Lytechinus pictus: one gene and its partner. The protein of the gene in region 2 binds, or shares a complex with, the protein of the main gene of each other region. Links are inferred from orthologs where the notes say so. Each region holds a gene or a part of one and is shown on either strand. Other genes may lie near its edges.

Evidence for each region.
Region 1: the proteins of cold shock domain-containing protein E1-like (region 2) and polyadenylate-binding protein 4-like are in contact, whole or in part, in a crystal structure (PDB 7ZHR), measured with the Drosophila melanogaster proteins. The link is inferred for Lytechinus pictus from reciprocal best matches to the Drosophila melanogaster genes Unr and pAbp. Residues at the interface, in NP_648226.2 of Drosophila melanogaster: Leu843, Glu844, Thr845, Thr846, His847, Asn848, Gly849, Val850, Glu870, Ile871, Leu872, Asp873, Glu874, Thr878, Val879, Ile880, Ser881, His883, Leu902, Ile907, Asp908; in NP_476667.1 of Drosophila melanogaster: Asn184, Tyr186, Lys188, Ser211, Lys213, Met215, Phe225, Phe227, Ala229, Tyr255, Ala257, Arg258, Ala259, Gln260, Lys261.

Annotation. Positions count from the first base shown.
Region 1 is NC_087245.1:30,413,569-30,429,247, reverse strand, and holds the start of polyadenylate-binding protein 4-like, read right to left. Parts: upstream 7,483-15,679; 5' UTR 6,935-7,482; coding exon 6,742-6,934; intron 208-6,741; coding exon 14-207; intron 1-13.
Region 2 is NC_087247.1:53,963,200-53,978,968, reverse strand, and holds the start of cold shock domain-containing protein E1-like, read right to left. Parts: upstream 8,562-15,769; 5' UTR 8,477-8,561; intron 1-8,476. UniProt on the Drosophila melanogaster protein: RNA-binding protein that acts as a regulator of dosage compensation in both males and females.

The DNA of each region.
Region 1 (15,679 bases), on a different chromosome or scaffold from region 2:
TGGGATACATTACCTTACAAGATAAGATGTGTCCGAAGGCAGAGAAAGTATCATACATGGCCTTGTTGTCAATAGATTTGTCAAGGTTTTTAATGAAGACATTACCAACTCCGGATTTCCTGAGTGAGGGATCACGTTGTGACCACATGATGCGTATTGGACGACCTTTCAGTGGGTCAAAGTTCATTGTGTCTAAGGCACGCTCAGCTACGAGGAAAAGAAACAGAAAATTGAATTCAACTTAAACAGTTTATTCCTGAAAATTTAAAGGACAAGTCCACCCCAACAAAAAGTTGATTTGAATAAAAAGAGAAAAATCCAACAAGCATAACACTGAAAATGTCATCAAAATCGGATGTAAAATAAGAAAGTTATGACATTTTAAATTTTCGCTTAATTTCACAAAACAGTTATATGCACATCCTGGTTGGTATGCAAATGAGGGAAGTGATGACATCACTCACTATTTCTTTTGTATTTGATTATATGAAATATTCGAATTTTCTCATTGTCAAGTGATACAGCAATTAATTCCTCCCTGAACATGTGGAATTAGCATTGTCTAATACTATATGGTTCAGTCAAGTTGGTCCTTATTGTCAAATCTATAAAAGATGAAATATTGTATAATTCAAACAATAAAAAACAAAAGAAATAGTGAGTGATGGACATCATCGATTGACTCAACTAGCTGTTAATTAGGCCTGGGAGTAAAATTCGATCCATCGAAGCATTCGATCAGTTTGCCAACAATCGGCACTCGAATGTTACTGTTTACACTTATCGAATGTTCGCCAGATGATGATTACTGATTTGAAACATTCGATTATCATAAGTACATAACTGTAAACTTAGATTTTTGAAAACAAAGTGCAAGATATCAAATGAAAATTCTGCTAAAATTAACGAATTCCAAAGATTGTATCTCTTTCATGACACACAATGACGACTAAGCCGCGGCGACCACGCACAATTCAGATGTGTTGGGCTGATGTGCACGTACGTCTCTATAGGCGCTGTGCTGGACACACTGAGTCGGGTGAGCTCAGTTTGCTCATTATACATTGTATGTGATTACAGCCACGCCCAATAATCATTCCAAAAGCGCTAACAAATACGCCCATATTGTCATAATAGTTAACTTGTACGCGAATCCTCTGAATCAGTCATGAGAAGCCACACCTCAGTATCAAACTTGCTATATTATGTTATACCCGCCCACTCAAACAATATCAGTGACTTACCACGTGCGCGAAAGCATTGTCACTGTACAAGGTAGTTTTGAGGCAGAGCCTATTAAACCAACTGGAACCGCCCACGAAATAGGCCCCCGCAAAATTCCCTTCTCTGCGTAACACAAGTAGTTCTATCTTTGGGTACGTGTACGTGGTGGGTTTGATTGACACATTTCCTTCCGCCGGATGCGCTTTCCTAACTTTTCCCCCAATGACTGAACGAATAGGATCCATTCCAAGTCACGCGCAGTTCTCAATCTCCTTCGCTATTCGTTCTTTAAATGGGCTTGTGGGCGGGATCTACGTTCGCATCAGTGCAATACATACAACACGTCCATTCACAGTCACGCACAGTTCTCAATCTCCTTTGCTATTCGTTCTTGGAATGGACTCATGGGCGGGACCTACATGTATGTTCATATACTAACATACGGAATACATACATACAACACATCCATGCATTCTAGAGGTCACGCACATAGTTCCAGAGATGCCAACTTTTTGAAATCAGAATTAGGGAGGATTTGCAACCGACACCAAATTATGTGCGCGTAGCGCACATCTCGAGCGCGGAGCGCTCGACCCTTGCGGCCGGGGTCGAGGGCCCGCCTTAGGGCCCTGGAAGCTCTGGGTTTCTAGATGCTCTCTGGTGCAATCTGACCCTTATTTTGGAGCATTTCACATGTTTTTAAAAAAACATTGTTCCCACTTTTTTGACATAAAAATAAAAATATCAAATATGCATTTTACATGTAAAAAAATGAGGGGACAATAGAAGAAAAGTACCTGTTCAACTATAATAATGAGGAATTATCCTCTTTATTATTAAAGCGCGGGTAACGTCTTCCTCCTCGCTGGTCCCTTGCTTGGTGAAATAAGTCAACAGGGTACTAGTGGAGCTCGAAGATCTCGTCTTCGCAATGTCAGTATGCCGTTTGCGCTTCCGAATATCATCACGACCTCCGTGCTCAACTTTAATGTCCACGCTGCAAATTGTGCAAAATGCATGGTAGATTCCTCTTTCCGACTTCCGAATACACGGGTACTGGAGACTGTATTCAGTCTTATACTTCTGAGACCATTTCTTGGTCTTTTTTTGTTGATTTTCCGCCATTTCGTGTCAATATCAACCCATCAATACGCCGAAATCACACACCGATATTCCATCGCACGACTCGACAAATCCAGCGGCCGCGAGCGCACACGCCTCGCGAAGCTAGCCGGGCCTACCGGCCTGGTGCACAGTGGATTCCCGTTGGGCATATCACATGCACCAGCTTTTCGCTGCTCCTTATTTGTCTGCCTTTCACACAGAATTTAGTAGCAGCGAAACGTAATGGAGTTACTACATGCTTAAGTCAGCAGACGATACATGTACTTCCAATCCAATTTGATCAATGCAAAAAAAATCGTAATTTCGGGAGGATAAGGATGGTAATCGTAAGGGCGGGAGTTGGGATGAATTTTCGGGAGCCTCCCGATGAAATCGGGAGGGTTGGCATCTCTGATAGTTCTCAAACTCCTTGTTATTCGTCCATTGTGTGCACTCATGGGCAGGATTTATGACATACCAGAGCAAGTGCAAGCATAGCTATAAATACATACAACACATCCATGCACCATATAGCGGTCACGCACAGTTCTCAATCTCCTTTGCTATTCGTTCATTGTGTGCAGTGAGGGCGGGATAAATGAGCAAGTACATGTTCCTTGTATGTACATACAATGCATTTATTCCAAGTTCCACTCCCATCATACCAGTTAGCGCAGCTACCCGTAGGTCATGGAAGTAGGTCAACTTTTGTGTGTGTGATTTCTGATATTCCAGGAATCTCGATTAATCCAACTAATCGATTGTTTACTCTGGCAAACAATCGAATGGCAAAAAGGGTATTCGTCCCAGGCCTACTGTTAATATCACTGTTTTGTGAAAAATAAGCGAAACTTTATTAAAAATGTCATAACTTTCTTATCTTACATCCGATTTTGATAACATTTTCAGCACTATGCTACTTTGATTTTTCTCTATTTATTCAAGTCAGCATTTTCCTTCAAGTTACTTGCAAATCAATTGAATATACCTTGCTTAGTAATAGTAAGCTATTAAATAACATTTTTTGTTACTTTTAAATTATTTTCAACAAAAATGTGAATTGTATGCAAATAGACTAATTATTATAACTAGAAACAGCGCCTCATACGTCACTGCGAAGTGAGTCAAATCAGCAGAAAGACAAAATTTGATGAGCCCCGTTGGGACGGATTTTGCATTGTTAACCCTCTTATGGCGGCTGCACGATCGCGAACCGTCTGTCAAGGTCTGTGTACGAGGAGAAAACAAATTGAAAATATTAAAAAACTCCTCAAAACAGACGGCTGCCAGCTGTCTAGCGCCTCGTAATGCTACAATAAATAATTAGTATCCATGCTCTCAATCATGTCAATCTCAAATTATGATTATCGAATATGACAATGAACTGTAAAGTTGTAGGCCTAGAATCTACTCATTTTTTTTTCTTACTTAACTTGGTCTTGCCTTCCATTCGGTATTTTATGATTTAGATTATAATATGTGAACTGAGAGTGAGAAAGAGATTTGAAATTGAGTGAATAAAAGTTTCTGAGTCTGACTAGCCAGGCAGCTTCTAGAGAGGAAAAATCATTTACTTACGTAAGGTTACTCTCATACGAAGCCCTGGCTTCGTATGAGAGTAACCTTGCGTTAGTAAATGATTTTTACTCTCTCGAAGCCGCCTGGCTAAGTCTGACAAGATTCGACTGACATAATAGGGTGTCTGAAGCCACACTGAAAAGTGTCAGCATAATACAGGCTAATTTAGGGGAAAATATGGCACATTTTTTCGGGAAATTCAGGCTGCTAAAAAAATGTGATCTGAATTGATTTCTATCTAATGTGTGGGATGTATGGAAAGGGAAAATTCAGGGACTTCTTTTGACAGTAAGGACAAGTTTATATGATCATTTTAAATAAGGATTTAGAGATAAATTGCAAACCCTTATTTGTGTGTGTGTTGAGATTGTCATTTCCCCTAACCCAGGGAGCCCAGGGGCGGTATTCTGAAAACCGTGTTAGCACAAAAACGGTGTTAGCTAACACGATTGGTATTCTGAAAATCGTGTTAGCATGAAAAACACGTGGCCCAAATGGTAACACCGCGCAGGTCATGAAATACGCAGTGCACAACGCGCAACCCCCATACGCGGTGTTAGGGAGGAAGATAACACGAAATTTGGTATTCTGAAAATGGTGTTAGCTAAAATTTTGTTCAAAGATAACACGAAAATTTAACACTGCGTTAAGGAGAGGTTAAGTTGGGGATGACGATGGCTGCACTTTTTCTAGCAGACGCAAACGTCAAGAAGAACATAAACGGGCAAATAACTATCGTTTGGCAGGATTTACTGTAATTTTCTTTCATATTTCCATTTACCTTTAGTCTCTACTAACAATGATTAAACAACAATTTCTTTGGAATTTCCTATGAAAATACAATTTAAATGCATCTTTGATTTGGATTAATTAAAATCATTATCATATATGATCATGAGTTATTTATTTGGCTACTTTTTGCCATAATATAAAAAAGACAAAAAGAGGAAGAAAATTACAAACGTCTAAAAGAAAAGCACAAACAAAAATTAAAAAGAATGGAATTAGCAATTGAGGAAACTTCTATAATATTCACATTTTTAAAAACCCTTTTTCAATGATTATATAGCTCCAATAATTTTTTTAAACTCTCAATGCTTCTAGGTTATTCTCAATTTATCTATCACGCCTGTCAATCTATATGCTTCGGATGGGGGGGGGGGGGAGGGGGCGGTCAAAAGTGTTTTTTTTTTTGCATGGCTGATCACTCTACGCATCAAATTATAATATAGAAAAAAATACAATTTTGTGTTTGATATTTCTATGTCAGATTTAATTTTTAGTGGAACCTCAAAAAACGAAAAGTTCTCTCCTTCTACCCCAGTCTCGATCGGCCATTTTGTTACGATTTTTAACAAAAATGGCCGATCGAGACGGGGGTAGAAGGAGAGAACTTTTCATTTTTTGAGGTTCCAGTCTGTGCCCAGATGTCAGGAAACTGCCACTCGTTAGACCTTCATCCATATAATCGTGGTAATTGTATACTTTCTGTTTTCACAATTCATTTGGAGAAATATTTAGACCATAAATCACCCTAGTCCCGTGAGTATGGTCAAATACACGGTAAGCCCCTGGGTTTACGGACGCGAGCGTAGCGTAACGTTGGGGAAGTACAATAAGAAACAAGATGGCGGCGTAAACATCGTGCAAGTCTCTTCCGTCTTTTCACAATATTTTTTCTTTTTTTTGATGAATTCTTGTTTTAAAAATAACGAGAGCGTAGAAATGTCGGAAATGAAGTTTTATCCCATGTACATGACTTAGAGCTAGATCTTTTAGAAGGAAAGAAGAAATCTCGGGGGTGAAAGTTTCAGGTTTTGGCTTCCATTGTGTGGGTCTATGGGCAGTAGAGGCGCACGGCCAATATTGGAGACTGTCTCCACTGTGGGAGATTATCTCCAATATCAGAGACTTTTGTAAAGAATTTGGGTAGGCCCTATCCAATTTCAGAGACAGTCTCCAGTTTTGGAGTCCAATTTCCTTTCTTTACATTTGCTGCAAAAGGATTACCGTACCTTGGCGGCAAATAAAAATGTGATAAGCAGATTCCTCATGAAAAATTACCCCTTTTCACCGTCTACTTTAAAAATTCACCTTCTACTTTTATTTTGATAAGGAATTTTGTTGTCAATCACACACAAAACAAATGGGCTTCTGACCTCAGTGAGACAAAATTTTGGGTGGAAAAAATCATACTTATGACTATGTTGGTGTTGTTTCTTTTGTCCTTTTGCAAAGCAAGTCTCCAATGTGGGAGATTGTCTCCCCTATTGGAGAGAGTCTCCCATTGGCCGTGCGCCTCTACCAGTCTACTGATGGGATAGAAGGCCTGGCTTCGTATGAGAGTGACCTTACATTAGTAAATGATTTTTACTCTCTAGAAGCCGCCTGGCTAACTGAGATAGGATGCCTTGAAAGTTGAAGACTCCGCGAGTTATGACAATATCAAAATCATAAAAAATATGCTCACGGAGTCCTCAAGACTAGGCCTATACCATTAGTTTAATACCAGGTAGGCCTACACAGTCTTGACTATGGCAGGAAAATGCTGAAAATTGACCTGATTTCATTCTTCTTTTTTGCAGCAAATAATTGGATTTTTTCATAAAATTTTATATTTCTGTCAGTCTGAAGGTTATTTCTATTCAAATTCACAAAGAAAATATGAAATTTTTTTGAAATGAGAAAAATATTTTTTTTCTCCAGACACCCCAGACATAATTTTTCAAATGTGTGCACCCATCGATTTCTGGGCTTAAAGATCGATCTGACGTTAATTGTGTCTGTAAGTGTAACTTATTCTTTATTCAAAGTTAACGTAAGTTCTAATCTTACCATCTGCTGGTTGTTGGAAATTCACGTAGGCGTAGCCTAACGAACGACGTGTGATCATGTCACGACAGACTCGAATAGACAAAATCGGTCCGGTTGATGAAAACTTCTCAAAGAGCAGAGCTTCTGTGACGTCTGGGTTAAGATCACCGACGTAAAGAGAATTCATAGGATAATTTTGTCCTGGGGCTTGCATCTTGGATGAGTTTTAGAGTCACAGATGATAATAAATTCGTTTTTTAGTCAATGAACCGAGACAATGCAATGTCAATGTGCACGACGACCAACCGTTGACGCTCGTTGGACAATATGGCGAGAACCGATGAAAAAAGACGATGGAAGAACGAGAAATTAACGGCAAGATACAACAGAATTTCACAGACGGAGAAGCTAAGAATAATATTTTTATATTTCTTTTTTACAATTTTGTATTTTTTTTTGTATTTTTTATTTTTTTGAACGCAAAAAATGGCAAACTGCACGGAGACAGCTCGTTGCCCTCTGTCACAATCTGTGTAGACGAACGAGAGAGAACGATCGTGCGAATTATGGCCATTTAATTATTATTGCGCGTCAAGATAAAATATAGTTCTGTTTTACATTCCTTTTGGCAAATGTTTACAAAGAGCTCTTACCGTCAAAGTCTTTTAGATTATCACAAACAATGAACTTAATATTATTTTTCATTGATATGGTAAATTTAGAAGGCATTTCTCAATTTCAATCTCATGTTCTGAGTAATGCGGTTCAAGGGCGTGTGACGTGACTATTTGCTGTATCAATTCTCGTGGTTCTTCGTACATTGTATGGACGGGGATATGAATGAGAGATGAGGATCAGCGAACTACGTTGACTCATTCCAAAAAATTTATGTCGCAATCATTTTACAACTTCATTGATGGCCATGTGAGGCAGTGGTTTAGTGTCGATGCACGTACGGGTGTCGATGGTACACCCTTCCGATGCCGGGCACCCCGCCCCCAGTATATTATTTCATCTTCTAATTCTGCTTTTTCTTCATCTTCCACTAATTGGATCTAATCCGATTTCTTAACATCCAATCCTGAATAAACATTTTGATATTATATTTGTTTACTGAATTCTCGGGATTGGTGGCCAGATAGATAAACGAGAAAAAAATCAATCACACACACTCATAATCACCATGGGATCACCATCATAATTTTATTCTATGAAATTAAAAGAAAAAAAAATAATAATCCTTATGAAATTTGAAAAATCACATTCCAGTCTAATATAGTGCCTATTTATAGCCGTATATAGTCTTAGGGCCTAAGTTTACATACAGGTAAGCGGAGTATATTTCAATGATTGGAGATCAACACATATGATTTCACTAAGCATGCCACTGCTCATGTTGATTCTCAAAGCATTTACAAGGCATCCTTCCTGTATTATAATCCTTTCCATGATGACATTTCAGTCTTCAGCGTCTATCAGTCAGTCATTGTATATTATTTTTTAAGAACATTTTCTCCTCATTGTCATGTAAAACAAATTTCATTCCTCCCAGAACGTTTGGAATTGCCATTTTTAATGGTTTCGTGGTTCAATGGTAGTCCTTTTATTGTCGAATCCAGTGTATAGTGCTCCTGGGTCGTTTGAGAGCGACTTCTATGCTTTTCACACTGCATTTCCTTAACCCTTAATATCACTGGCGTAAATCCCGGGGGGATGGGGGGGATATATCCCCCCACTTTTCGAGGAGGGGGGGGGATGGCCTGTACAAACATCCCCCACTTTTTACGAAAGAAATGAAAAAAAATCACAAAAGATAATTGTTTTATTGGTGAAAATTCTTCCTAAAATACCGCTTAACAAATAAAACAATATTATTAAATCATAAAATACAAATAAAGAGCCATTTCACCATTTCCAAACGAAATACTTATGTCCTTATTATAACATTGAAGAGAAACCCCTGTTTCTTCCAATTCATCAATGTTGGGGTCTTTGGGAAGGGATGAAGATGGAATGTCAATTTTTGTTTAATGTAATCTCTAATAAAACCATTATACCATCATGGGGTAAAAAAAGATAATAATATTGGAGGGGTATTTATATGGACATACAGTGGCGTAACTACGGGGGACATGGGGGGGCACATCCCCCCCCCCATCGGCTGACCAAAAACAAAAACGAGGAAAGGGGGAAAAGGAGAAAAGAGGGAGAAAGGAAGAGAAACGTAGTGGGAAAGAAGAAAATATTATTCATTATAATGTTATATTATTCATTATAATGTTATATTATATTATAATTATGTTATGTTACATTACAACTTTATGAAACATAATTTGCCCAGGGCCTACGTCTATTTTTATTGTTCCTGGTGCTCGCATTGTCTGTTTAACGAGATATATAATCCTGTAACATACCGTTTTCAAGTCAATATAAACCAAATATATTTCCTAGCACTTGAGTTATCATTGTTTTATGTAGTGACATATGCTTCTTTTTCATGACTCAAAAGTGATTGCCCCATGTTAAGGTCTTCGTATATATGAAACATTTCCTGTCCGTGATTACGTTTGCATTAGTGGATTGGTGAGATATGTCTACTCTTCATGAATTCCTAAAATCAGTCCTTAAAATGTCCCTTCTTCTGATCTGAATATCAAAAATTTTCAGCTCGCGCTTCGCGCTCGCATCATTTGGTTAATGAAATACGTATGGTCCTAGTTAATTCCTACAAAGAAACCTTAGAATGCCCCACTTCAGGTCTGAATTATCTAAGTGTTCAGCTCGCGCTTCGCGCTCGCATTGTTTAGCGAGACAGGTACCTATCATGATTACACAAATTTGATTATATTGTCCCTTTTTAGGTGTGAATATAAAAAAATTTCAGCTCGCGCTTCGCGCTCGCATTATTTGATCAGTGAGCTACATATCCGTTTAATGACATTGTCTTTAAAATGTCTCTATTAGGTCAGTATAACTGGCAACTTAGCGCACTCACTTAGTGATTCAAAAATTTTGCTGGTGCCCCCCCCCCTCCCCAATGCCGTGACCCACGGTACGCCACTGTGGACATATCAATGACAATTCCTTGCATATCTAAAAAATGATTGCAAAAAATGCCAAATATTTCAGTCACCCCCCCCCCCACCCATCAACACGGATTTACGCCAGTGCTTAATATATATCCTTAACCCCGCGGAACCCCATACAATCTTTTTTTTATTCACAACTGTCTTTCTTATCCCATACTATTTATCCCTGGCTAAGCATATGGTATGGGAATAAGAAAGACAGTGTGAATCGAAAAAGGGATAGCATGGCCGGGTTACGGATAGTCCGGGGTTAAGGATAGTATAATCAAACATAATCTATATGTAATTGTATTTCTGATAATTCATTTTGTTTAAACTTTTTGAATGCGAACTATTTAATTAATAAACGTCATTGTTTTTATCATTATCATTATTTTGTACATGTACTTCCCAACTTGAGCAGGCAGTTTTCTTAGCTAATTTGTAATTTGTGATATGAAAATACTTTACACTGTACATTTCCTTTCTTGTGTGTTATACTGTTCAATGTTATTGATGTAAGCTACTTAATCGTTTTGTAAAGCGCTTAGAAACACTATGTATTAAGCGCTATATAAATACAATGTATTATTATTCATTATTATTATGGGGTTAAGGGAATGCAGTGTGAAAAGCATATTGCAGGGCCAGATAGTACCGTATACCGTGCTAGCCCACTTTGCTAAAACGTAGTGTGAAAACGAAGTGGGCTAAGCTTAACCCCCCAGAAGGAAAAAACAGTTCCACTGGACCTGTTAGACCAGTAGAATTTTAACTGGTAACTCTGCAATTGGAACATCGGTTTACTGGTCTAACTGGTCATACTGGTCCAGTTAAAATTTTACTGGTCCAGTTAAAAATTAAACTGGTCTTGAATTCCTGGAATTTTATACTGGTCTTGTTTCTGGTCTTCATACTGGTATCCAATTCAAGCTGGGCTTTACTGGTATTTTCGACTGGTCTGACTGGTCCTCGAACTGGTCGATCTGGTCCTCGTACTGGTCTTACGGGATCAATTTATTTCATGCATTTGGTTTGTTATATACCATGCATGGTCAGTGAAATGTGATGGAAAAGATGGTTAGTAAATTAATCTTTCTGCTGTTATTTAAAATGTGATATACGAAATTACACATTTTCATTGTGAATTAGTTCACACACTTATTTGGAAAGTTTTTAAACAACAATGAATGCCATTGCAAGGATATTCCATTCTAAATCCTGATTTTTCTTTTTAAAATAGGAAATATGCAAATGAGGTAAACCACGTGATCAGCATCATCAGAATTACTGGTATTACTGGTCTTGACCAGTTCAATTTCAAACAATGAATTACTTTAGACCAGTTGACTATATCAGAGGAATATATCTTGCTTTGATCTTAATCATAATTAAAGGAAATAATTATTTTAATGATAATGTTAATACTTGATAATTATGATTATATTAACAATAATAATTACAGTATCAATAACAATGATAACAGTAATAAGAATGATAACAACAATGATCATAATAATCATAATAATAATTATGATAATTATAAGAAGAATGATGATAACAATGATAACGATAATAACTTTCTCTGAATTGCAAGATTCATTTTCCATAATTCGTCAAATGATCTGACTTGAAATAAAGTCATTATTTATTGGACCAGTAACACCAGTTTGATGATAAACAATTTAACTGGTATTACTACTTTGCTTCAACTGGAATGTAATTGTTTGAACTGGTCTCCAGTTGATTTTTACTGCCGGTCCAGTTAAAAATCAACTGGTCGAGTAAACATATACTGGAAACCAGTAAAAATCTACTGGAAACCATTTATTGGACCAGAAACACCAGTTTGATGAAAAACAATTTAACTGGTGCTACTAATTGCTTCAACTGGAATGCAATTGTTGGAACTGGTCTCAAGTTGATTATTACTCGTCCAGTTAAAAATCAACTGGCCCAGTAAAAATATACTGGAAACCAGTAAAATTCTACTGGAAACCATGCAGTAATTTTTTTTACTGGTCTAACCCTTCCTTCTGGGCCCGGGAATTTGGTGGGGCTAAGACCCCCCCCCCCTTATACCCCCACAAATTTCCCGGGGTTAAAAAAAGTGCAGTGTGAAAAGCTTATTCATGGACAGGGAGAAATCGCATACATTCGTAATTCCGAAAACGAAATAAGGTTCCAATCCGAAGGTTCGTATTTCCGAAAATGAAATTAATTCATTTTGGTAACAAGAACGGTGTTGTCCTTACAAGATAACATGATATTATGCAATATTTAATAGTAATAACGAACGATGATACATGTGTGTCATGTGACCAAAGCATGTATTGCATTAAGAATAGGCGCCCGAATCAAGCATATATAGGCTTAATTTCTATTTTATCTGAGCAATTGCTGTTTAAGAAAATGGTTTAAGGATGCAGGGGATTAAGTGTGTTGGTCGCCCGCGAGTAACCTCCAGATAATAGGATTTGTATTGGAGGGGATGTCATTTTAATAAGAGCTTCCGCTGGTAATAAAAATAAAAATAATACTAATGATGATCATAATAAACATGGTAATAAAGAATATAAATGTTTTAATAAAATTTTACTGATCGTTACGCCTAGAGTTAACAATGTTAATCTTTTTTTCATGATTACAAAAAATGTTCGGCATGTTTACTTTTTATGTGGGGCGTTGTGGCCCAGTGGATTAGTCTTCTGACTATGAAACAGAGGATCGTATGTTCGAATCCCAGCCATGGAGTAATTTCATTCAGCAAGAAATGTAGGCACACTGTGCTGCACTCAACCCAGGTGAGGTGAATGGGTACCCGGTAGGAAGAAATTCATTAAATGCCTTCCTTTGGGCGCCTATATAGGCAGCCCAGCCAAAGCCGGGTAATAATAATAGCAGGGCCCGCTGGGAGAACAGTTTTCAGAACTAAAATGGCTTCCCTTGATAAATAATACCAATATCATTATTATTATTATCATTATTATTATTATCATTATTATTATTATCATTATTATTATTATCATTATTATTATTATTAGGCCTACATGAAATTTCCAAAAGTTTGAGCTCGTGATTCGCCCGCAACATCTCACAAGGATGCCCTTTTAACAGTAATTGGGTCCATAATTGACCGAAAAGCGAGTTTTACAACTTCAGATTTGAAAAAAAAGTTCCAAACCGCTTGCTCGCTTCGCTTGCTCGCGAAAAATAAAACCTAAATATTTATCTTATCAATCAGAAATCAATTCAAATAACTTAGCTCAACTTAATTACTACAAAACACACAACTTCTTTACACAGATGATAATCTCATGGTGAAAATATCCGTTTTCACCAAAATGCCCGTTTTGGCATATAAGTGCACCTTTTTTGGCTTTGCCCCCCCCCCAAGGAAAATACGCTCCGCCGCCATTGAAAAATGTATCGTCTTCATGGCTAACTGCAAAAATTACTTAACATGGCCCTTTTAGATCAGGTCAGACATGTCAGAGCTTATATTTAAAATTTCTGCTCGCGCTTCTTTCTCGCATGTTCTAGTTACATAGGCATCTTGTTTTGAAGATCACAAGCATATTGCCCATCATATTTCAAAAAAAAATTATAGCCCGCGCTTAGCGCTTGCATTAATTAAAAAAGGGCTTATGATATTATTACATATTTACTTTATTTTATAAGAATAAAGCTAATTATTGACTGGGGGGGGGGGGGGTGGTGCAGGGGGCACTTGCACCCCCAAAATAAATAACAGGGAAGTGCTATTTTTTCCATAATGAAAATTCCTTTTTTTCAAAATGAATACTCTTTTTAAAGTATACATTTTAGATTAATTTTCAGGCTAGAATATTACAATTTTTCATCTCGCGCTTCGCACTGGCATTATTCGATTGGTGGTGAAATATGTATTCTAAGGAGGTCACTTAATGCAGTCCTTAACAGGTTCCTTTTCTGGTCAGTATATATTTAACCTCGCGCTTTGCGCTCGTGTTAATTCTGTAGTTAGATCATGGACCCTAGGGTCCATGGTTAGATGCACATTCTTTTAATGGTATAGCAGAAACCTGCTCGGAATTGTTTATTTTCATTTCTTATTGAAATGCCCGAAAGTTTGAGCTTGTGATTCACGCTCGCAACACCTCGCAATAATGCCATTTTAACAGTAATTGACCGCAAAAACGAGTTTTACAACTTCAGCTTTGAATTTTTTTCCAAACCGCTCGCTCATCATACTCTCTCGCGAAAAATAAAGCCTAAATATACATCTTTCCATAATCAGAAGTCACTTCAAAGAGGGTTTTCTCTACTTAATTACTATAAAACACACAATGACTTCACGCAGATGATAATTTCATGGTGAAAATTTCACCAAAGTGCCCATTTTGACGTACGAGTGTCATTTTTGGCTTTGCCCCCCAAATGAAAATTCGTTCGGCCGCTCTTGCCTTCCCATCCTCATAACAATTGAACAGCAACGGGGCCCCCCACCACACTTTCCCTTCCTCTGCTTTCCCGGTTTACATTTTTCGGATTAACGAACCTTCAGAATAACGAACCTTATTTCGTTTTCGGATTAACGAACCTTCGGAACAACGAACCTTATTTCGTTTTCGAATTATCGAACCTTCGGAACAACGAACCTTATTTCGTTTTCGGATTAACGAACCTTCGGAACAACGAACGTACCTTATTTCGTTTTCGGATTATCGAACCTTCGGAACAACGAACCTTATTTCGTTTTCGAATTAACGAACCATCGGAACAACGAACCTTATTTCGTTTTCGGATTAACGAACCTTCGGAATAAAAAACCTTATTTCGTTTTCGGATTATCGAACCTTCGAAATAGCGAACCTTCGGAATAGCGAACCTTTGTAATAACGCCACAAATCTTTCTGATTAACGAACCCTTTTTCGTTTTCGGATTAACGAACCTTCGGAACAACAAACCTTATTTCGTTTTCGGATTAACGAACCTTCGGAACAACGAACCTTATTTCGTTTTCGAATTAACGAACCATCGGAACAACGAACCTTATTCCGTTTTCGGATTAACGAACCTTCGGAATAAAAAACATTATTTCGTTTTCGGATTATCGAACCTTCGAAATAGCGAACCTTCGGAATAGCGAACCTTCGTAATAACGCCACAAATGTTCTGATTAACGAACCCTTTTTCGTTTTCGGATTAACGAACATCGATGTATAGGCAATTTACGTGTTTCGGAATTACGAACCTTCGGAATAAAGAACCTTCGGAATTACGAAGTGTAACCGGGAGAAATTGGTGAATCACAGGCCATATTGCATACTATTAGAAATGAGCATCTGGTATTGTAATCATCTTCAGCATTATCTTCAGATTTTTAGCTGGATGCGCATAATTGAACCGAGTTTTCATCATACCAAGGATTCGTCTATTCGTATTAATAAGTCGAGTCGATAAACCGAGTGAATTTAATAAACATGAAGAAAAGTAAGCCACATAATTGTGATTCCTTTCCCGTTTTCAAGGTAATATCTTGGATTCATTACTGGATGTTATAATAGAATGCATGCAAACAATACAATAAAATCCCTTCCCACCCCTTCCTCGCTTTGCCCTTTCCCCTGATGGATTTATTTTTTTACAAAATGAGCCGAGCTCGCATTTGGAATGGCTGGCTCATCCTCTGATAAAAAGGAACGATTCTCAAGAAATTAAATTCCAGCTAGAGATTGCATCATTCAGAGAAAGGTACAGAGGGCGGGTGTCTTGTGCAGTCATGGGGAACTTCCATTATCTTGAGAAACTGATTGCATCCGGCAGGAGATCTTTCTCCTGAACCCGAGTTTACTTTTTAAAAGTCTACTCTACCTCCCCTCTTGGGTTAAAAAGCCCCAAGTGTTAT
Region 2 (15,769 bases):
CTTTACACTTGCAATACTAGGAAAGATATGAATTCACTTAAAAATCCAAGTCGAAATATTATTTAAATTCATATTTATGCATTTCATGTAACGGCATCAAAATGCAGTCATTCTTACCAAAATCTCTGAATTACATACATGTAGACCTATATTTGAATACTGAAGTGGATGGGTAAATCTCAAAAAAACTTTTTTCCACGAGGTTAGATCACACTTCTTCAGAACGTTTTTCCAGCACAGCGTGCACTCATTGTGGAATAGAATTTTGAGATCGCCATACCAGCGAAACCTCTTGATCATGCTGGTGTCAAAGGTCACAAGATAGATATTCAGATCATATTTAGAAAAGAGAGCACAAGTAACTAAAATAGATGATCATATGTCTTCACTTGCCCTGGTTACCATTGGAGTGCCTCAAGGCTCAATATTAGGGCCGTTAATGTTTGTAATAAACATCAATATTCTTAAATTGGCTTTTACTGATCTCGAATGCAAAGTACATATACATGTATATGTATGCTGATGATACCCTCTTGCTTTTTAGAGCAAAATATGTTGATGAATTACAAAATGATAGGCAAGTTGGTCTACAGGTAGCAAAAATGCTTTATCAATAAGCTGACACTGAACATAAAGAAAACAAAATTTATGTTTCTATTTTCTGTATTTAATGCTCTCCAATCAGCACATCAAGAGAGTGAAGAAATTTAAATATGATCTTGGTGTCATGTTTGATGAACAATTAGTTTGGAAAGAGCAAAGAGCACATCAATTACACAGCCAGTAAAGTTTCTCAAAGAATAGGGTTTAGGGACAGTGATTTCCGTTTCTAAAAATTGCCTTTTCCGTTTTAGAAAATCTTAAATTCCATTTCAGCATGTCTGAAAATGGAAATTCTGTTTCCCCTTTCCCCATAGACTTTGCGTACATGAAAAAGTGACAATATGCTAATGTAGGAAGTTTTAGTTTCAATCTTTGTTTTGTATGGAAGTTTCTTTACTTCAGGTACTAACTTAGTATAACTTGAATATGTTTCTTTAAGTATGGACTCTATACTGCATGAGCATACTCCAAATGAGGTCTAATCAATGCAATGCTTTGTAAAGGAGTAAAAAGTTCTCCGTGTGAAGATAAACACAAGGCAAAAGCGATTTTGTGTCTCGCCCACTGATGAAAATAACCAGAAATATCGTGATTTGCGACGGCACGCAACAGAATTGTATCGAAACTTCATTGTGAAATGACTGGGATGGAATAACACTTGTCATAAGGGCATTTTCACGGTAACTGACGTTACACGGCACAATCTTACACACCTTTAATTGTGTGTATCTCTAGAACAACAAATGATGAGAGTTTGCTATTGATAGAGTTAATAAAGGGAACCTTGCTGTATACTCTAATACTAAGTTTTTCAATGTAACCACATTTGTTTCGCATCAGCAAGCAAAAATGTGTCGGTAACTGACATTACGCAAAAAGGATGCAATTACAGGGTGTTCAGTAAAACTGAAATATCTCATGTCCCTGAGTAGCTAGAGTAATAATTTGAATATGTAATATACCTTCATTACTAGGTTAAGATGTGTCAAAATATTAAGTAATTTGTTTTTGTCTTTTGGGGGCTATGATAATTTTTCCACGACCATGCTGGTAACTGACATTACACTGAATTTCCCATAGAGATAACACATGGAAGTAAAATGTGTGGAATCATTGCATTGTATCTTCTGTGCAGGGCTTCATATGAAAGTGAGCTTGATGTGGAAGTATACCTGAGTTTATATACTAAGAACATTTCAATGAAAAAACTTTTTCTTTTTCTTAATTCCTTTTGTTTGATTTGAACATTTTATTATTGCTTGTCGGTAACTGACATTACACATTAACATTTACCAGTGCTATATAATTTCCAAAGGCATAATTTTCTTGGTACTTATATTATATGTAAGGTTTTTTAAAATCATAAAAGTTTTATAATATTTCACAGTTTAAATTATAAAAAGATAAATGTATGTTTTACTTACCCGGGGGGGGGGGGGTCATACCAGCTACATGTATTCCTATAGTAATTTAATATTGCATTGACTGTACACATGGATTTTTCTGACTATGCACCCATTTACATATATTCATCAGTTTTATATTGACTTTTTAAGCCTTTTCCTTCTTCAACCCTCCCCCTCCCCTCAAAAAAGGCAAAATGAACAAGGGTCACCTCCCCTAGTCTACCCCTCCCTGAATCTCTTGCAGCCATGCAGTTTTATTGATTTATATTCTGGTCAGTGCAAGCAGTGCTTGTTCATATCTGTCGGATTTCAATTTTCTTCACAATGTGTTTAATCATTCTCTTTGCTAATTTCTTTTTTAAGCTGTCAATAAAAAATAAACTCCAGCTTCTAAACTGAAACTGAACTATTTGTAAATAAGAAAAAAGACAGTTTTAGTAGATCCATGCAACATTGATCAGAACAGCGAAAAAAATACACGAATTCGCCCCGGAAATGCCTAAAGTCGCCCTCGAAATCACCCAAAATCATGCTTTCGGGGGCGACATAAAATCTTAATGTAGCCCCCGAAATTATTGCCGAGCGATACAACTCGGCGGCCCACGAGCACCATATGCTCGAGCTCGCCTAACCATTTAAAAAACATCAAAAATCCGCACTCACAATCAAGAACAAGCCTTGAAAATAGCGAGGAGCACAGTTTGAAATCCCGAAGTTGCGTCTTTTTTTCTGTACCACGTTTTTCCATACTCATGGTATGAAAAAAATATCAACGCAACGGTCGGGAAACGGTTGCATGTATAAGGGTCCATTATGACTACCACCATGTGCAATTTCTAATGCACATTTTCCCCTACAGATATCACAATTCTGTGATAAAATAATTCGAATTACACAGGAAATAAATCCCAGAGTCTAGTAACCTCGCATTGGTGAGTCGTCATTCGGCTTTGCTATTCAAAACGGCCTATTAACATCCATAATAACTTACCTTATTTGTTGATTATTACTTAAAAATCATTTGCTTTATTTTTCTAGGGGATGAGGTAAATATCAGACAATAAATCATCAAACAAAGCTCCATCTATTTTACAAGGCCGCGGGAGGCTCACGAACGCATTGCCGCATGTAATAGCTAGCCAGTCTGAGCTCTGTCTCTCTGCCAGAGCTCTGGGGGACAATTTGCTCAGTAAAGGCCTCAATGATGGTGATTTTCTGTTTCAGACAGAGTCTACATTTCGGGTATATTATTAATTCGGGTATATTATTAAAAACTGCCAATAAAGTTTGATGATTTCTTCATTGTCATGTATATTTAAGTTAGTAATGAGTTCATTCTCACCAAATTTATACTCCCCAATAGAGAAATGCAATTTTCGTTGAGATCTGCGTTTTCAAATAACTTTAGGAAAAGTTAGGGTATGTGGGCCTTTTATAACATGGCCAAGTACAGGTTATTGTACTGGAATAGATGGAGTAGAAATTAGAAATTTAATTCATTTATATCCAAGTTCAACTCACAGTCACACAAACACACACACACCCACATCCAAGATTCTAAGCATGAAAAAAAATAACTTAAAAAATCATACAATATTAAACAATAAGTAATATAATTCATGAATAAGTGAACAGGTATTCCTCAAAATACAAAAAAGTTGCATTTGAAAAGAGCCCCCGAAATGCAAAAAGTAGCCCCCGAAAGGTAGAAATGGAGCCCCCGAAATTTTACAAAAAATTAAAAATGGAGCCCCCGAAAAAAAAAATTAATTTTTTCCCTGGATCAGAACTATCAAATTTCACTTTTCATCTATACTTTTAAACCAAAAACAAAAATTGTATCACACATCTACCTTACTAACAGGTATAAAAACCAGGAATTTACTTTTAGCCCGGCAATGCTCAAAAGAATCCTAGAAACTAAAAAAGGGGCCCTGGAAACTCCCATTCATTACAATGTTAAGCTTATCAAATGTTGCAGATTCAGGCAATAGGTTGGGAAAAGTACCCCCTCCCCCACGAAAACCGAAAAATAAAAAAATACTTTTTGTCTGATACAAACTAGGTACTTGGTAAGTATGTACATATGCAATTTCACAGTAATTTTTTTTGCATGATGGGAATGCAACTTTCTTCATAATTTTATATAGTATTCCTTGTGAACTATACCTTTTAAAAGTCAATAGCAAGCTCCTTCTGGTGTGATTTAATTAAGACAGTGAAAGGCTTAAATAACAAGTATACAATATTTCTTCACCATAAAATTGACCAAATTTGCATTTCACTATTGATAATAATGTTTTATCATGGTAACTGACATTACATCTCGGTAACTGACATTACATTTTCCACTTGGTAACTGACGTTACACATATTTTATGGTACCCTATGGCTTGATTGTTAATTATCTTTTATTTTGGTGTAGAAGGGAGGGGTGTTACCTAAGGAGGAAATCTGGGAAATGAAAAAAAAAAGTTCATGTTTTTGGTAACTGACGTTACATACCATATCACATACTTCATCAACATTTTTTTATCAGATAAATGAATTACTGGTGATTCTTTTTATGGGATTTTATAAAAAGTTATAATAGCAAGCTAAATCACGGGGGAAAATATCATGATCAAACCTGTTCTTTTAATATCTGTCAGAACAAAATATGTATCAATATACCATTTTCAACACTAATTTGTATCCATACTCTGGTGGCCATTTTGAAATAAAAAATGGCTGCCACAGTTGGAAAAAAAAATTGTTCCAGAAACTTCAGGTCTTGTATTATTAAAAAACATAAAGCATTTGACATAAATATCAATTTGATTTTTTTGCCTCTGTGTCCATCTGTGGTGAAAATGCCCATAAGAGTCTTGCATGTAAACTTTAACGTTGACCTGAAAATTACCTTTGACCTTACCATGTGACCTCCGACTGCAGCATAACATGCAGGTCTCCCAGGTCTATCTACCATCCAAGTTTGGTTGAAAAGTGACTTACGGTTGCAGAGTTAGGTGTCATAAGAGAGTCTTGCATGAAAACTTTAACGTTGACCTGAAAATGACCTTTGACCTTACCATGTGACCTCCGACTGCAGCATAACATGCAGGTCCCAAAGTCCATCTACCATCCAAGTTTGGTTGAAAAGCGACTTACGGTTGTGGAGTTATATGTCATAAGGTTTGTGACGGACGGACGACATTTGGATCCCTAAGTCTCGCCTTCACCTCTGGTGGGCGAGACAAAAAGTTCTTCTAATTAGATTCATTAGCCTATCTTTAACTGAAAGTGCTGGTCAAAACTAAGCTTTGTGTCGTCTATCACTCCTAAATCATTACTAGTTTCAACTTGTGATAGATTACATATATGTGAGGCATTATCATGTGTCATTGTATAGTCATTAAATTCATCATTCTTTTTACCTATTAAAACTTATCCGGGTGGAACTTTAATAGCCACTTGTCAGACCGTGAAACAAGACAATCTAAGTCCCCTTCTAATACATGTAACTCAGCATCTTTATCATTTTTTTCATGCTTGTATACATGTAACTTGGTGTCATCTGCAAATAAATAAACACTACTTGACAAAATCTGATCTGGCAGATTATTAATGTACCTTACAAAAAGCAGGGGTCCAAGTACACTCCCTTACGGTATTCCGCTGGTTACATCAGCCCAGTCAGAGAACACACCATTTACACAAACACAGTGCTGTCGACCAACAAGAAATGACCTGACCCACTCACATTCTATGAGCTTAGATAGACCTATGCCGAATCCCTCAATTTCGGCTAAAAGTCTCTTTGCAAAACGATCATGCACAAATTAAGGTTATGATGGTGGTCCCACCTAACGATTTGAGTTAAGATTTAACATTAATTTCTTTTTATTTCACAAAATCTTTCAATTAATTATGTTTCTTATATTATCATAAGTAAGTGTACCTAATATCTCATAAAAATTTGAAAGAAATATAGGATTTTCTTGGAAAGAACCTCAGGCAGTCATTTTCAGATTTAAAAAAAATGTACCCCATGTCTGCGCACCCATTCACTTTGCACACGATTCAGGTATTTTGATGAGAAAGGCTGCATTTTGAGGCCGTCACATGAAATGCCCAAAACTCATTATTTTCCCACCATTTTGAGTCAGATTTTTTAATGAACATCCACTGGTATGTGTTGCATGTGTAAATTTTGTGTTCGTTGCGTATCTTCGACAGTGCAAAATGAGGGAGACACGGGACTGGGGTAGATTGGGGTCTCAATAGTAATCTTAATAAAATGTGGAAACAGAAATTATGCACTTACCACGATTATGTGGATGAAAGTCTATGGTGACACACAAATCTTGACATCGAGGCACAGACTGGAACCTAAAAAAAAACCAGAATATAGCCTCGCTCTCGATCGGCCATTTTGTTTTGAATTTTGAAAGAATGAGAGGTATAGCGACAGAACTTTTCAGGTTTTTTTAGGTTCCAGTCTGTGCCTCGATGTCAGGATTTGTATGTCACGATAGACCTCATCTTCATCGATATAATCGTAGTAAGTGCATGATTTATGTTTCCACATTTTATTAAGATTACTATTGAGACCCCAATCTACCCCAGTGTCTCTCTCGTTTTGCACGGTCGACTCCTGGGCTCCTTTTACTCTAGAATCAGGCAGATAGGCATGTACGCAGACAAGGGGGACTACACAGACGTAGACTTGTGCTTGGGGGAACTTGCCATACACTTTTTTATGATACTTTTTCAGCTGAGCATGCACTAACGTTAGTCAATTGTCATGGTCATGGAATTTTGAGATCATGATACCAGCGAAAAAGGCTTTAGTTTGGCCTTGTCCATGTTGACCTGGCTAGGATAATTCGGTCAAGCGAATTTGACTTTAAGTTTAGCTACCTCGAGCGAAGTTCGTGCAGCCTCCACTCCACTTCCGCTACACTACACTCCACCTGTACATGAACTTCGGGACCGTGGACTCGATCTGATATTCCGAGTGACAAAGGTGGGATCAAAAAGTTATTTATTGTAAAAATTAAAGAAAAAATATATAACGTGAAAGAAAAATAGCTTAATTTCTTACTCTACACCCGTATTTCACTCTGTGTCCATCCTCCGGTTCGCCTCAAAATTGGTGAAAAATATTCCACTGATTCGTGGAATATTTTTCCAAACTCTTAGACTTAGAATATTTCTGGTATTTTCTAAGCCATCCAATATAATATAAATATTTATGCTGTTTGACCTGCGACCGATCGCATGCGATGTTTTGAAATTGGCAGTGAATAATACGTGTGAGGAATTAGATACTGGCCCAAAATCACCAATTTCGAGGATAACCGGAGGATGGACACGGAGTGAAATACGGGTGTAGAAGTTCGGGTAGGTGGAGTGTAGCGGTAGTGGTAGTGAGGTGGAGCCTGCACAAACTTTACTCGAGGCACTTGTTCACTGCAACCACCCTGCCTGTGGGGAATCTACAGCCTACAGGTTGGACTATGGCATGCCAATGCTGTAAAGAGCACACACTTTAAAAAATGATTAAAATATTACTTTTGTGACCAAAATTACTAATTTCCATACAGTTGCAATTTATTTTTCATTTGTAACTTGGGAATAATTTTTGTATTCACTAGAGCGCTCAAAACCTTGAATTTTTGGCATATTTTTGTGTTCGCCCTCTATTGGTGGAAAATAATATGGCAAGAAAATTTTCTTTTTTATCTCTATTTTTAATTAAGAAAAAAAATAATTTAAAGAATCAAATTTACTAAAGCCAAAGGGCCAAGTTGTAATGACGAATAGGTGTAATGGAAACTGTCAGTGTAAAAAAATCAAGCATTTCACCATTTGTCCCAAAGAAAAAGAGAAAATAAGCCAAACATTGCCATCCTTATTTTGCCACACATGGAGATATAATTATAATTGAGAACGAGGTTATATCATAACCTTGTTCATTGATTGAATGAGTGACTTGAGGTAGACTTAGTCTTAGTTTAAAATTAGGCAAAACTAAAGTAAAGCTTCATTCAGTCTCTGTATTTTGGTTGTTCCGCTGAACTGCGTTGGCTAACTTGGCTCACTCACCAATACATGGGGGTGATAGTAAAATGTCAGAAATTGTTAAATAAATCCACAGAAACGACGGTTATTCCTGTCTAGCTTAAAACCCGGCTTTAAATTAACGTTAATCTATTGCAATAAACGCCATGATGAAAGCTACATCAGCTAGCGCCGAATTGGCTTCAAACTCAAAGTTCAATCACTGAATCAGACTCAGAGAACAAGAAAAATAGTCTAGCCTCTGTTAGGCCTAAGAAATAACAAATCATTTGTTTCGAAAGAACAGAAGAAGTTCAAAATTAAATAGTTTAAATACTTTAAAAATATATTAATCTAAATTTGAAGCAAAGGACGTAGAGTCTATTTAATTCAAAACAAAACTTCAATTTTATTTTTCTCACCTCAGGCTCAACACCGCACAACAGCACTTGTGCCCTCGCCTCCGCCATTTGCATTACTGGAAGCTTGTGCATCACGCGCGCGAGCGCGTACGCGTGCGAGGCCGAGGCAGAGCTAGGAGGCCGAGGAGGAGGGGGGGGGGGGGGGGGGGGTGCAGCCTGGGTGCAGCCATAGACAAATAAATCATCATCATCATCCGTTAAAGTACAGTCCACAGCATATAAAAAGGAAGAAAGGGAGCCAGGACTAGGAAAAAGCTTGAAGGAAAGGAATTTGGAGCAGAAGCAGGGGGAGGGACACATGAAGAAAATTTGACGAGCAAAAAAAAAAAGGTTTTCAACCAGAAATTATTTACATTAATTTCATCCGGCCACGTGGCAATTAGCCTCAACCCCCCGGACAAGGCCCAGCGACACATATAGGCCTACCCAACAACAAACCAACCAACCTATGTTCTATATTACCACTATACTGAAAATATAAGGTCAAATACATGACGAAAACCTTTCATTTGAAAACACTATACCCCAGTTTCCCTCAATCAATTCTCTTCTCCAAGTACGACCATGGACCTATTGGTACGACAAACCATAACTGCCCCAAGCAAGCAATTTAAGTATCAAAACACCTGTTTCTTGACCTCGGTCCGAAGATAACACAACAGCCCGAGCAAAGCATGCCGTCATTTTAATTCACTTACTTTCCTTATTTCGAGGTCGATTTTCTTCGTTCGAACTTGAAAATGGACTAACATTGGATTTCTGAATACAATATGCATTTGAAAACGTGATTAAATATCGAATACAATAATTTCATTCCGAAGGTCCTACTACAGGCAGAGAAGTCTTACGTAATAGCACAGCTGTTGTTTATCATTTCGTCCTTGGCTCAACGCTCATAATCTGGCCTGTGGAGGTAAAATTGAGACAGCGGGGATTACCTGGCCTAGCGGGATTGATCAGGCGGGTGTTTCATAAAGCTGTTCGTAAATAAAGAGCGACTGGTGATCCTGTCTTGCGGTAAATGGTACACACCATTGGCGAAGATCTAGCGCGCGAGAAAGGATCACCAGTCGTTCTTAAAGTCGCTCTTAACTTACGAGCAGCTTTATGAAACGGCCCCCTGGGCTTGGAAATGATTTTGGGATTTACAAACGCAAAATGGGGTATAGAACCGCAGTTTGCAATCTGAACTGCGGTCTTTCTCCAAACGGGGGTTTGACGTAATGTAGGCCATCTTCCGCCTATTAAATCCTCCTGGTGCCGCCCGGCCTGATCAAAAAGTTGCTCGATACAGGTGTAACAGTTTAAAAAGAGTGAACATGGTGAAGATGGTAAAAGTTATCAAGAGAATAAAATCGAACTTTCATTATTTTGTGTGATTTACAATTTTTTTTTAGTGCTTTGTAAAAATGTCAGTTTTATGGTCTGAATGTTACCATTTTCTGCTCGCGCTGCGCGCTCGCAAATTTCGATTTATCAGGTACCTATTATTTTCGTGTATTCCATAAAGTTTTCAAGATATCCCTTTTCAGGTCCGATTGTCAAAACGTATCAGCTAGCGCCGCACACTCACATTTTGATTAGTGAGTTATGTATGTCTCAATATTGATTATACAACATTTAAACTATGACAGTGTATAAAAAATTTAGGCTCGCATGCAATTTGAGCCAGCATTAATGGTTATAATAAATTAACTGATGCATCCTATTTATAACTATATAAAAGTGCTTGAAATGTCCAGTTTTCAGGCCATAATATCATCAGATTCGCGCCCTCATTAGGCATTAATGAATAAGATATTAATTTAATAATTGAATTGTTCCTTTTGTTTCATCTCGCGCTTAGCAAGAGGAATAGGAAGACAGTCATCATTTTCATATGATGACATGTCCTAGGGATGTCCCGGTCCTATGTCAAACCTCAAAGTGATTATAATGAAAAATATCAGCTCTATATTAAGTGCGATCCATATCCACCTCGCAATTTTCCTACAAAGTGCTTGAAATATAGAGCTGAAATCGACTCTTTTTTCAGATCGGAATATCAAATAGTTTAAGCTCGCGCTTCACGCTCGCTTTGATTTTCATGATAAAAGATGAATTTAGAATGCCTATATTCTAGGTCTAAATATGAAACACGCACGCGCATGTTTATTCAGATACTCAACTTGTTCTCTATTTAAATCATTATCCAGTTTAAGATCACAATATCAAAAATTTTCTGCTCGCGCTTTGTGCCCGCATTATTAGGAAGATCCCCTATATTACTCATTCTTTTCATGATTTACAAAACATGAATAGAATGTCCCGTTGTTAGGTCTAAATCTCGATTTTTCAACAGCTTGCGCTTCGCGCTCGTATCAATTGTTTAGTTATATAGCTATCCTGTTCATGATTACAAAAATTGATCAAAATTTTCCATTCTTTATGTAGAAATGTTAAAATTTTCAGCTCGCGCTTCCCGCTCCCATTATTTGATTGTTGAAATGTGGCGTCATCATGGCTAAGTGCAAGCAGATCGAACTTAACAGGTACCTTTTCAATCAGTTCAAAACGTATTTACGAAGATTTCAAGAATAATTGGTTGTATCAGACAGATAAAGCAAAATATTCCGCAAAATATATTAATCATGTTATATAATGCATTAATCCTGCCACATATTGATTACGGTATCATTATTTGGGGTAGAACTAGGAAGTGCAATATTAAGAAAATACAAAAACTTCAAAACAAGTATGCTCGTTTGATTTTTAATGCTGATTTTTCAATACCTTCCAATGTTCTTCGCACACAATTAAACTGGCAAAACATTGTACAAAGACAACAGTATCAGACCTACCTCATCATGTTTAAATTGATTAATGATTCAGTTCCAACATATTTAAAGGAAAATATTGTTTATCGTGATATCAACTTTCAAACTCGATATGCACATTCTTGCCCATTAAAAATCAAAACACCTCGAACAGAGTATTACAAGAAATCTTTGCATTTTTTATGGTTTAAATCTATGGAACAGTTTACCCCAGAATATGCAAACTATAACATCTTTTCCCATATTTAAGAAACAATCTAGAATTTTAACTTTTAACTCTGAATTTTAAAAAGCAGTATTAACTTTGATTTAATGTAAATATTATGGTTGTGTTATTTTAGATTTAATTTAAACTTAATATGAATACTCTGCTTGTATGTGATTTTACTTTTTTAATTTCAATTTAATGTGATTTTACTTGAGTAAATATTTGTAGTTAAGTATATAGTTTTAAGTTTTCTGTGTGTAAATTGTTATTTATGTGTATTTGTTTTTTATTGTACAGGGCCCATTGGTAGAGCGGTTTTGTAACTGAAAGGGCTACCCTGTTGAAATAAAACGGAAATAAATAAATAAAATAAAATATTTAAAAATTTTCTGCTAGCGCTTTGCGTTCGCGTTATTAATGTAAGGAAGATTTGTTTTGATTTGATTTATTTATTTCCACATTCCAAAAAAAGCATATACAAGTGTAATCATTTTTTTTCTTAGCATAACATAATAAGCAAATGATATAATTAATAACATATGCATAATATACAATCTAATTGAAATATACTTATACCTGATAAATTTCTTCTTTTTTTATTGTTAAAAAAAAATAGCAGAAAAAACAAATATATATATATATATATATATATATATATATATATATATATATATACATATATCAACAATAATACATTTTGAAATGTGGGAGACCTTCATCTTAAGCTTAGAGCTTGAAATTGATAAAGGCCTCAAAAGGAAAGGGGAAGGAAAATCAGACAAATAGTGCATTAAAAGAGACTTATATTTTATTGCACAAAATAATAGAAATATTACCAAAAAAGTAGATAGGGAAAGAAAAATTAAAATGAGGAAGTTATAATCATGTTGATAAAAGTTAAAGTGCAAGTGTGCGAGAGTGCAAGTGCAGGGGAGGGTTGTAATATCGGTTGGTACGTAACACACATAAATTTTAGGTATTATATTTTAACGGTGTATTTCTCTTCAAAACAGCCTTGAATGAATAAAGTGTAGAGCATAACTTAATTTCAGGTGACAAATTGTTCCATAAATCTGCACCGTAATGTCTAATTGATTTGTGTGCTATTATTAGTTTTGGATTTGTGAGATGAAATTTGTCAGAGTTTCGTGTTGGATACGAGTGAATGGTGTTGTTGATTGTGAACATATTTTGAAAGGAAGGGGGAAGTATTCCCTTTTTGTATTTGAACATGAAGATAGCAGCTTGATATGTATTTATATCTGAAAGTTCTTAATTTAAAAAATAAAGGACTAGATCTAGCGAGATACTGTGATCCTGTACAAATACGAACTGCTCTTTTTTGTAAAAAGAAAATCGAATTAAGTTTTGTATTACCACAGTTACCCCAAACTATGTTGCAATATGATATGTGAGGGAAAACCAAGACATTATAAAGAAGAAAAAGAGTTTTGGGGGGTAATAAGTATTTTAATTTGGAAATGATCCCAACACCTCTGGATACGGAAGTGGTGATATGGCGTAAATGATTATTCCACGATAAATTTTCATCAATAGTTACTCCTAAAAACTTTGAATGTTGTTTTTGTTGTAAGGTGACGCTGTCAATGTTTATCATTATTTCTTCGTTAACTGCATGGGTATTATAATGTTTAAAGTGCATAAAATGTGTTTTGTTTACGTTTAAAGACAATTTGTTGCATTTGAACCAAGTAGACACTTTACATAATTCATCATTTAAGATCCCCAAGTACTCATCCTTTTCATGATTTACAAAACATGATAGAGTGTTTCGTTCAGTAGGTCTAAATCTCGAAATTTCCGCGCTTCGCGCTCGCATCAATTGTTTAATTATAAACCTATTCTGTTTAAGTTACAAAAAGTGCTTAGAAAATCCATTCTTTGTGTAAAACCTCAAAAAATTTTAGCTCGCGCTTTGCGCTCGCATTATTTGAATTTTAAAATAAGTAACGTCTTCATGGCTAAAAGTGCATGCAGTCTTTAACAGGTACATTTTCCATCAGTTCATTTCTGCTCGCGCTTCGCGTTCGTAGTAATTATTTAGTTGCATACACATCTTTTTCAGGACAACAAAAATTGCCCAGAATGTTCAAATTTTAGGAAAAATACATAAGAATTTAAAAAAAAGTAGCTCGCGCTTTGCGCTCCCATTATAATAAGGATTATGATATTATATATTTATGTTGATTTATAGGAATAAAGCTAAGAAATGACTATTAAACTACCCCTTCAAAGCAGTGGCGTAGCTAGGATTTTTTTCCTGGGGGGGCACTGGGGGGTCCTTGCTTTTTCAGGGGGGGGCACAATTTTTTCCGGTGTGTGTGTGTGTATGCACAAGGGCGGATCCGACTATCGCCAATAGGGGACGGGGCCCGAAATTATCTTCACCTACATTTTCCCCGATCAGTCACTTCTTAGTATTATTCTTATAAAACAACATAAACATGAAATAATCTCATAAGCCTTATAAAAAGTGCGAGCGCGAAGCGCGAGCGATTTTTTTTTTACTTTCATGTATTTTGTCCTGAAAATTTAATATTCTGGGAAATGTTATGTATGATCCTGAACAAGATTCGTATGTAACTAGATGATAACTGCGAACGCCAAGCGTGAGCAGAAATTTATATTAACTGTTCTAGCATTGTCAAAAAGGGACCCTTTAAGGACTGCTTACAGTTACCCACGAAGACGGTATATATTTCAATAATGGGAGCGCGAAGCGCGAGCAAAAAAATTATATAGTAACATGAAAGATTATTTTTGCAAGTCTTCCCCTCACGTACATTATTTCATTCACTCCTCTTCCTCCTCTTATTTTCCTTTTCTTTTTTTCTTTTCTTTTCTTTCTCCTTCTTTTCTGTTTTTCTTTTCTTCTTTCTCCCTTGTTTTCTTGTTTTTTTTGCTCTGCCATTTTTTTTCAGGGGGGGCACCTGGGGGGGCACACCAAATCTCAGGGGGGGCACGTGCCCCCCCATGCCCCCCCCGTAGCTACGCCACTGCTTCAAAGAAACAAAAAATCTTCTTCGAGCGGCCGATCGGGGAAAATATGGCTAAAAAAATTCCACCCCGGCCCCCCTATTGGCGTAGGCTGGATCCGCCCCTGGAATAGATGAGAAAATGTTCAAAATTTAAAGCTGTTTTGGAGCACTTTGCAGCTTTAGTAGGATGCTTATGACAATTACTCCGTACCTCCCCCTTGGTACTGGATCTGGTCTAGGACGTCAACATTACAGATGGCCACGTTTGTATCAAATCGCGGGTCCATACACAACACATATTAAAGGAGAATGAAACTCTTGGAGCAAGTTAGCTTTTGTGAAAGCAGAAAAATCAAAGAATAAGATCAACAAAAGTTTGAGTAAAATAGGACTAGAAATAGAAGAGTTGTGAGCATTTGAATGTCGAGATCACTAATGCTATGGAGATCCTCCCATTGGCAATGCGACCAAGATCTATGATGTCACAGATGAACAACTCTCCCCTTTTGGACACTGAAAATATACCCCAAAACATCTCTTTTTGCTCATTCTAATCATATGACAAACGATTCATCAATGATATAATGTTGTGAAACCTCTGTACTTGTCCTCTCATAAAGAGAACACCTCACCTTGTGATAGACTCTATAAAAGTGAGAATATAAGTGAAATAAGTACTAAAGTAATGAAGGAGTTGTACGTGTGTGACATCACAGATCTTGGTCGCATTGCCAATGGGAGGATCTACATGGCATTAGTGATCTCAATAATCAAATGCTTTCTTATTATTCTTTCAATCTTCCTCAAACTTTCAACAATATGTTTCTTTGATTTTTCTCTTTGATATATGGATTCAGCTGGTTTCAAGGGTTTCATTCTCCTTTAACTTCAACGCAGTTGTGGATAATAAACGAAATATTTTGAGGCAGCATAGCAATGTTGTAAAATTTGTAAAGTAGCCAGCGAGCGGAGCAAGCCAGAAAAATTTGGCCTTTAAAAATGACTTTTAAATTAAATTCTAATTATGTGATAGTAGCTTTAGAAACTTAGCCAAAGTAAACATTAAGAGGAAATGTTTTAAATCTATAGCCATGCAGCGTCAATCTTTACTTTGGTAACTTAGGACATGATAAGGGGGGATATATAGCCCTTGGCGAACCCTTTGCCAATGAGATTTTTTTGTCCTGATTGCGACCATCAAATTAAGCAAGCTTATAATAGACGCCATCCACCTTTCTTCCCGTTCTTTATGTTTTTCAATCCTTTCTTC